2 linked regions of the Coturnix japonica genome follow. The protein of the gene in region 1 purifies or fractionates together with the protein of each later gene. This does not show direct contact. Links are inferred from orthologs where the notes say so. Each region holds a gene or a part of one and is shown in the gene's direction. Other genes may lie near its edges.

Evidence for each region.
Region 2: the proteins of STK11 (region 1) and COPS3 purify together in Homo sapiens (affinity purification with mass spectrometry; 5 studies listed by BioGRID and IntAct, with this or other methods). This does not show direct contact. The link is inferred for Coturnix japonica from reciprocal best matches to the Homo sapiens genes STK11 and COPS3.

What each region holds. Positions count from the first base shown.
Region 1 is NC_029543.1:2,093,892-2,097,704, forward strand, and holds part of STK11 (serine/threonine-protein kinase STK11), read left to right. Parts: intron 1-1,776; coding exon 1,777-1,985; 3' UTR 1,986-2,010; intron 2,011-3,071; 3' UTR 3,072-3,813. UniProt on the Homo sapiens protein: Tumor suppressor serine/threonine-protein kinase that controls the activity of AMP-activated protein kinase (AMPK) family members, thereby playing a role in various processes such as cell metabolism, cell polarity, apoptosis and DNA damage response.
Region 2 is NC_029529.1:4,775,438-4,779,250, reverse strand, and holds part of COPS3 (COP9 signalosome complex subunit 3), read left to right. Parts: intron 1-790; coding exon 791-903; intron 904-1,008; coding exon 1,009-1,058; intron 1,059-1,808; exon of another isoform or gene 1,809-1,876; coding exon 1,877-1,969; intron 1,970-2,687; coding exon 2,688-2,867; intron 2,868-3,813. UniProt on the Homo sapiens protein: Component of the COP9 signalosome complex (CSN), a complex involved in various cellular and developmental processes.

The sequences.
Region 1 (3,813 bases):
AGGAGGGAACCTCATTAAATCTTACGTTCAGAGGAAGAAGGGGCTCTGAGAACATGCCGTTATTCTTAAAAGGGCTCTTTAAAGATTTATGCAGCTCTGCACAGCCTTAAACATGACGTGCCCCCCGGTTCAGTCGGTGTTAAGCATCTCAGCAGTGCTGGGAGCAACTCGTTGCTATTGTGCTATGTTTGTATTCGGGTGCTCTGCTCCCCCCATGGCAGCTGTGTGGGGGTCTCAGCTTTGTGTCCCCCCCCTCAGCAATAACTCTAAGGCTGCAAAACAAACCCTGCTATTGGGGAGGTGTCTCACCGTGTGCTCGTCTGACAGTGATTCAAAAGCTCTCCACGGTTTTATTTTGGAAGCTTTTCTGTGCCTGAATGAGCAGGACGGAGCCATTAAGAGCCGTGAGAGGCAGCAGGGATGCGCGTGCTCACCACCTCTCAGCCCTCCTCTCCTCTTATTTTTAGCCCATGGGCTGATGATGGTCGGTAGGATGTGGCTTCTCGCGCACGCAGCGCTGGCCACGGCTTCCGCGGGGGCAGGCAGTTGCCAAGATTTCATCCTATGCTGAATTGTTATTTTCATTAATTTGAACGTCAGCAACTGTCAGTGGTGAAGGAGGTAAAATTAGCCCTGCAGCTCGCCCTCCATCCTCAGCATCCAGAACGGCCTCCCGGGATTGTTCTTTTTTTTGCTGGGAGGAGGAGATAGATGGGCACACAAAAGATGGTGGGATTGTTTCCCCCCTCCCCAGTCCGAAATGTTCATGGCTTTGGTCAGAGCCTGCCCAGGGGAGGGGAAGGACAAGTGCTCAGCTGTGCTTTGATTGTGGGTGCTGGGGTCTCCTGCTGCAGCACCCAGCCCCTACTTGGCACTGTGGGGCTGTGCCAGTGCTGCTTCATGTGGGTGCTGGGCTGGTCCATTGGATCCCTACAGCTTCTTGGGGCTGAAGATGACTCTGAATCAAGAGACCTCAGTGTTGTCCCTTCTTGTTTCTGAATGATTTCCACACCTGGAGGAGGATGCACTTTGGGATGCTGCCCCATGGGAAGCAGGAAGGAGCAGAGCCTGGGGGTACACAGCAGGTAGAGGGGACCCCCAGCCCCTCCCAGTGCCCCCTCTGCCCCATGTCATGGGGTGAGCACTGGCGCATGGAGCTGACGTTGTGTTCGGCCTTGGAGGAGAAAGGATGGAGCATCCTTTAAAGAAAATTATACATAATCATCTTACAGCTCTCGCTTCCACTCAAACCTCTGAGTCATAACTGAAGGGCTCTGGAGCGTGACGTTCCCGGTGGAAGGAAATTGCAGTGGCTGGATCCAGTGTGGGGGAGCAGGGGACCTGATGAACCCTTCCATCAGCCCCATGGGGCTGCAGGGTGATGGGAGTGCAGTGGAGCTCTGGGTTGTGAAACCCTCTGTCACTCCCCAGGTACAGGGACAGAACAGGACCAGAGCCTGCACCAGCTGCACAGCACAGGGATGCCTGTCCTGGGGGCTCTGTGCCCCCAGTGCTGAGTCACTGCATTGAGCTGGGCAGATGGAGAGGGCTGTTATGGGGCAAGTGGAGCAAACCGACCCCATCTGCGTGTCCCTTGCTGTGCCTGATCCCTGCAGCAGGACAGTGCCCTTCCCGCAGGTGGAGCAGTGTGAAACCTGCTCACCCTTTGCCTTCAGTTTCCTTCTTCTCAGTTCTGAGTGATGCAGAGCACAGGGTGGCCGTGGTGCTCCATGCAGGGAGGACGCTGCCATGGCCTCACGTTTCCTTCCCTTGCAGGACAGGTGCCTGAGGAGGAGGCAGGGCAGAACGGGCAGAGCCGAGGCCGGGGGCTGCCCAAGGCCATCTGCATGAACGGGACGGAGCCGGGACAGCTGAGCACCAAATCCAAGGCGGAGCGCAGGGCCAGCGCCTCCTCCAACCCCTCACGCAAGGCCTGCTCGGCCAGCAGCAAGATCCGCAAGCTCTCCACCTGCAAGCAGCAGTGATCCGGGAGCACCACGCTCTGCACAGGTATGGGTCGGGATGGGGGCTCAGGGGGTGAGCCCTCTCTGTGCTGCCAGCATCACTGCCTGGTGCTCTGCAGTGTGGGGTGGTGCAGAGCCCCCCCCTATGCCAATGGGGGTCCTGCTGTGCTCCTGCATGTAGCTCTGCTCTGTTTCCACCCTCCATGCTGCTTTTAGACCCCCCCCCTCTAGCACTGGGACCCCCATTCTCCACCACTCGGCAGCATTGCCGCCCTCCTGCAGGCAGGGAGCAAAGCTGTGATGCATGGAGGTGACAGCAGAGCTCTCCTGGGGATGCTCCAGGGGTCTCCCCTGTCCCATGGGCAGCTGCAGGACTGTGCTGGCTATAGCTTTGCTCAGACCCCCCCTATATCTTGCTGTGATGCTCAGGGATGCTGAGCCCTCCCTGCTCCCCCCCCCCTTCATCCCTCCGGCTCCCTCCGCATCCCCATCCTTTCCTTTCCACCCCTCATTCATAAATGAGGCAGCGATGAGTCAACTCTCAGTGCTCATCCACCCCCGGCCTCACGCTCACTCTCGTCACCGGCTCTCCGTGGGGCTGAAGCTTGTGTTATCTATTTGGATCACGACCAGCTTTGTGGTGTGAAAAGGAGAAAAAAAAAAAGCCAGAAATAAAAGCCCATTCCTCCCCCTGCAGCTGTCAGACCCGCACTCGGCTTTAATCTTTAATTCATGGATAGGAGTGAGTCACCTGTGTGGGGAGGCACTGTGCTGCCAGCGGATGGATGCCTGTGCTCAGGGCTCCCCTGGGAGCTGCTCTCTCTGCCCCACAGCTGCTCTCTGCCCCACAGCTGCTTGCTTGGGGCTCAGCCCTCTGCCTAAAGGGGGGGGTTCCCATTGTGGCTGGGGCTCCTGTTTATATGGGGTGGGGGCTGCCAGGCTGGATGCTGCCTGCTTCCAACCCTGCCCTCCAGTCGGTGCCATAAAACCTCTCAAGAGCAGAAAGCAGCTGTGAATGAGGTCTGTGGGCTGTGTTTTCCCTTTGGGTTCAGCAGGCTGTGGGGCACACCGGGCCATCCTGACCCTTTCTCTCCCATTCTCCCACAGTGTCCCAGCATCCTCCCCCCCCTGCTCAGCACCTCCTGGGGGCTGGATGGGGTGGGGGGGGTCCAGTCTGTGCTCACAGCCTGAAGACCCCCACCAAGGAACCCTCCCTGCCCCCCCTATGGACAGCACCCAGAGCCCAGCGCTGCGGGGAGCCCCCACCGCCCACCTGGGATGGAGGACCCCGACTTGGGAGGGAAGGGGGGGGGGGGAAAGGGGCACCCCCCCCCTCCCCATCACTCTTTGCCAATCAAGACACTGATTCTCTTTTTAATTTCACAATGGAAGGGTGGGATGAGCGGAACTGGGGGGGGGGGGGGGGGCTCCCCCCCCCCCCCCCCCCCCCCCCTTTACCCTGGCTGTGTAGAAGTCGTGCGAAGCCATTGCCGTGCACTTTATGTTTTAGACTACTGTTCTATATTTTCCTCTTTTATTTCTCTTTTATTTTGGGGGGGGGAGGGTTGTTGTCGTTTGTTGTTGTTGTTGGTTTCGTTCCGTTGATCTTTTTCGAGGTATATTTCGACATATTTCCTACACATCGTGAGGTGTTTCAAATCCAAACCCAGATTGAGGGAAAAAAAACAACAACCAAAACCAAAACCCGACCCAAGGTATTACAACAAATCAAAGCTCCATTCACCCTGCATGCTGTAAAAGGGCTCAGAAAAGGGAATGGGGGCCTTCAGAGTCTTCTTTTTTTTGTTGTTGTTCCTTATTTTTTCTCTTTTTTTGTTGTTTTTTTCTT
Region 2 (3,813 bases), on another chromosome or scaffold:
CAACCAAGCCTCTTCAGTCTCTTGCAGAATAGTGCTTAGTTTCCTTTAGTCATATATCTTTTATTAGAAGAAATGTTTAAGCAAATTTGTGCTTTCAACAGAAAAAAAATGTGGAGCCTGTAAAATATCATCACTTCCAAATGGTGATTTTTTTCCTTAAGGCTGTATCTGTTTCTCGTTTATGCCTGTATGAGTGTTTTTACCTTCAGCAAAAAAGTACAGGACTTCTAATTGGCAGGACATGAGTGAGCCAAACTGTAAGCATGAAGCCACGTGCAGAGTTCTCATTGCACACAGGTAGTGTAATCACAACTCATGGGAGAAGCACCGTGGAACTCTACAGCTTGTAGGGTGCTGAGGAACCAGCAGGGATGGAGAGAAAGTGAAAGTGAAGAGAAAGAGCTCTTAGCAAGACATAGAAGTCTAATCAAGTAATAGTTGATAAATCTGTGGTACATTCAAGTGGGTGTCTGGAGAAGTTATGTGGTTTAGTTTAAAAACTTCACTGTTAGATATTTATTGTGATTATAATTGTAGCAGGTAAAGAGGTCTTTGTTCATAGCTAGTTCCTACCTAGTTTTTAATTAGATTCATAGTAGAACTATGCATTGAGAGTGTACTTCCAAGTGCTGTGCAGCTCTTGGGGAAATCATATGCCATCTGTCGTGACCACTTTGGCGCTTCTTGCAAGCAGTTACCTGTATCTGCAGAGACTGAAGATAAAACATTTTGGTTTTCTTTAATTAATCTCTGAATGTTATGTGTTAAACTTTTTTTGGTCTTGTTTTAGGTTTGTGAAGTTTTCTATGCCCAGCATCCCCGATTTCGAAACATTATTCTCACAAGTGCAGCTCTTCATCAGTACTTGTAATGGGGAACACATTAGATATGCAACAGACACTTGTAAGTTAATTCAGCTTGTTATAGAAAAATCTTTTTATATATTGATAATAGGTTGGTATTATTGGTAGTCTTGTTTTACTGAATTCTTTTGTTTTCTCTGTTTAGTTGCTGGCCTGTGCCACCAGTTAACAAATGCTCTTGTGGAGAGAAAACAGGTGAGCAAATATCATCTAATACAAATACGGAGCCTACAAAGCTATGTTCTTAAAAAGGACATTACTTGCTTCATAAAGGTTTACTGCTAACTTCATGTAAACTATTTTTGTGTGACTCCTTATGTAAGTTAAGTCTACTGAGCAGTAATGAACTTAAAAGACGATTTTAAAACCTCTTTAAAGAAAATATAAGTTAAAATGTGGGGGGAAGTTAGCTAAAAACATGCTCTCACACCATGAAATCAGGTGTACCAGGGTTGTTATTCAGATGGTGTGTGTGCATGAGTAGAGGGGAGCTGCAAAAACTAATAGAGCCAATGAGTCAGAGAGATGTTTCAGCGTTCTTCTCACCAATCTTACACAATGTTCTTAATGAAATGCCTTAAAGTGTAGGGGACATTTCTTTTTAGGGGTTAGGTGTTGAAAATGTCTTGGAAAAGTAAGTTAAATCTGGCTTGAATGAAGAGATCAAATCTGGACTAAGTGAAGTGGGAGATTTGCCTTTATTTGCTAGGAATTTAGATGGACTCATGGAGTCAATAAAAGGTTTACTCAGAACAGTTTACTGTTTTCCTGGTGAACTTGTCTTTGTGGAGCAGAATTGGTGACCTTGTTTAGTTGATCAGGAGAAGTTACATACCATGGGCTTATTGTGTTTTCTGAGTGACTGCAATGTCCTACAAAAAGGGAACCACAAGTTAATCATTACTTAACGGAACCTGTCAATTAGTGTTATTTTTCATTTGTAAGTGTCAACATAAGATCCAATGTGCTGCCATCTATGAGAAATTATCTGAAAGAGATGTAATTTCTGACAGCCCCTTCGAGGAATTAGCATTCTCAGACAAGCCATAGACAAGATGCAGATGAACACAAACCAGCTGACCTCAATACATGCAGATCTCTGCCAGGTAAGAGGAACACGGGGCTTTTTTCTGAGGGTGAAAGCTTGTAGAGTACCTGTAGCTGTTTGATAAATGCATGTTCATGTATTGCAGTGTAAAGAAAGCTTTAGGTTTTGTGATGTTGGTTTTTTTAATTCTTTTCCAGTAGTCTGTTATGTGGTATACTGAAATAAAACTCCCTTCTCTTCCTATTAAATGTTCAGCACTTGTCTCTAGATTTTAGTTTTGTTCATGACTTCTGAAAGTCCTTCTCTATGGGCTGGAAGTTGTGCACAGCTTCTCTTAGACAGTGTAAGTGTACTGGCCAAATACTGTTTGCTCGAGTCTGACAAAAGGCATGTTTGTCTCTGTGTCTTTGGCCTGGATTTGCACTCCTGTCTCATTCTTGGCTCCTGGGACTTAGAATTGGATGAGAATGTTGAGTGCAATATTTTGTGCTGCCAGCACGGTAGTTTGGAAGGCCTGGAGTTTCAGGCTGCTTTGTCGCTTAGTCTGATTTCTTTAGGATTCACATAATTTCCAGAAGTTTACAATCTGTTTTTTTTCCAAATACCACAATACGATGTATAATCCATGTTATGCCTCTACTGTGACATACATACTGTTTCTTTAACTCTCAGAGGAGTGAGGCATACTAAATACTACTACATGAATTGAATTTCAATGTCATCTTTGTGGGTATTTGAAATAGCTAATTTAAGAAACTTGATTTGTTTTCTTGTAGCTCTGTTTGTTAGCAAAATGCTTTAAACCTGCCCTCCCATATCTAGATGTGGACATGATGGATATTTGTAAAGAAAATGGGGCATACGATGCAAAGCACTTTTTATGTTATTACTACTATGGTGGGATGATATACACTGGGCTAAAGAACTTTGAAAGAGCACTCTACTTCTACGAACAGGTAACTTTAAAACTGATCAGCCTCAATTGTGGTGCATTGAAAAGCAAAAATGGCACATATAATGCCACTGGGATAATGAGTCATCTCTGAATTGCCACGAAGGACAGAATAGAAAGCTGTGTACCTTGTATAAAATACAAACAGTCTGATTATTTTTGTTCTTAACCTTTAGGATGCAGTTCTATTAATAGACCTGTACTTCTGTCCATCATTCACGTTGGATTTGCTTTTCTATCTGTGTGCATTGTAACTGTGTATAAAACCGATTGGGGTTCATTTTTATTTATCAGCTGTTTCATAAGGAGTATAGACTAAATGGTGCTCTTGGTGTACAGAGTGAAGTAACAAACTGAATTTAGAAGTGTTATCTTCTTAGAAAGTCACAGCCAAGCAACTAATGCACCATAAAGCTATGCAACTCAAAGGTTGATGTTAAATTTATCTCACTATAAATATTTTCAAGTGCCCGCTTATTACTGCTCGCCTAGAAACAGGCTGGTACTCAGAACTGTGTCTTTTCAAAGAGCACGATGGCTTTGCTTCTCAGCTTTTCTAATTTTTTGATGGAAGTTACAGTTCGTGCCTGTTATAATAAGGATTGTTTTATTTCTTCTTTGAAAGAAGAGAGAATGGCAAAATTCAAGGAACTCAGTGAGGAAAAACTTTGTCAAATGTGCAAAATAAACTAGTGCAGCATTTGTTTATAAGGCCAGGTAGGCTGTTGAGTAGCAATATTGGGGTGAACTAAAATTGCTGCTTACTGTTCTGCAAGCCTCTTCCATCATGGTTAAATAAGAGGTTGCATGATATCTCTTATGAAATCCTTGTAAGGATGTGTGCAAATTCAGCTTTCATGGGATCATTCCTTGTTACTAGTAGCCACTGGTGATTTACAGTCCAATGTTAGATACATATAAAACAAAGAAATTTTGCTTTGATCTTAACA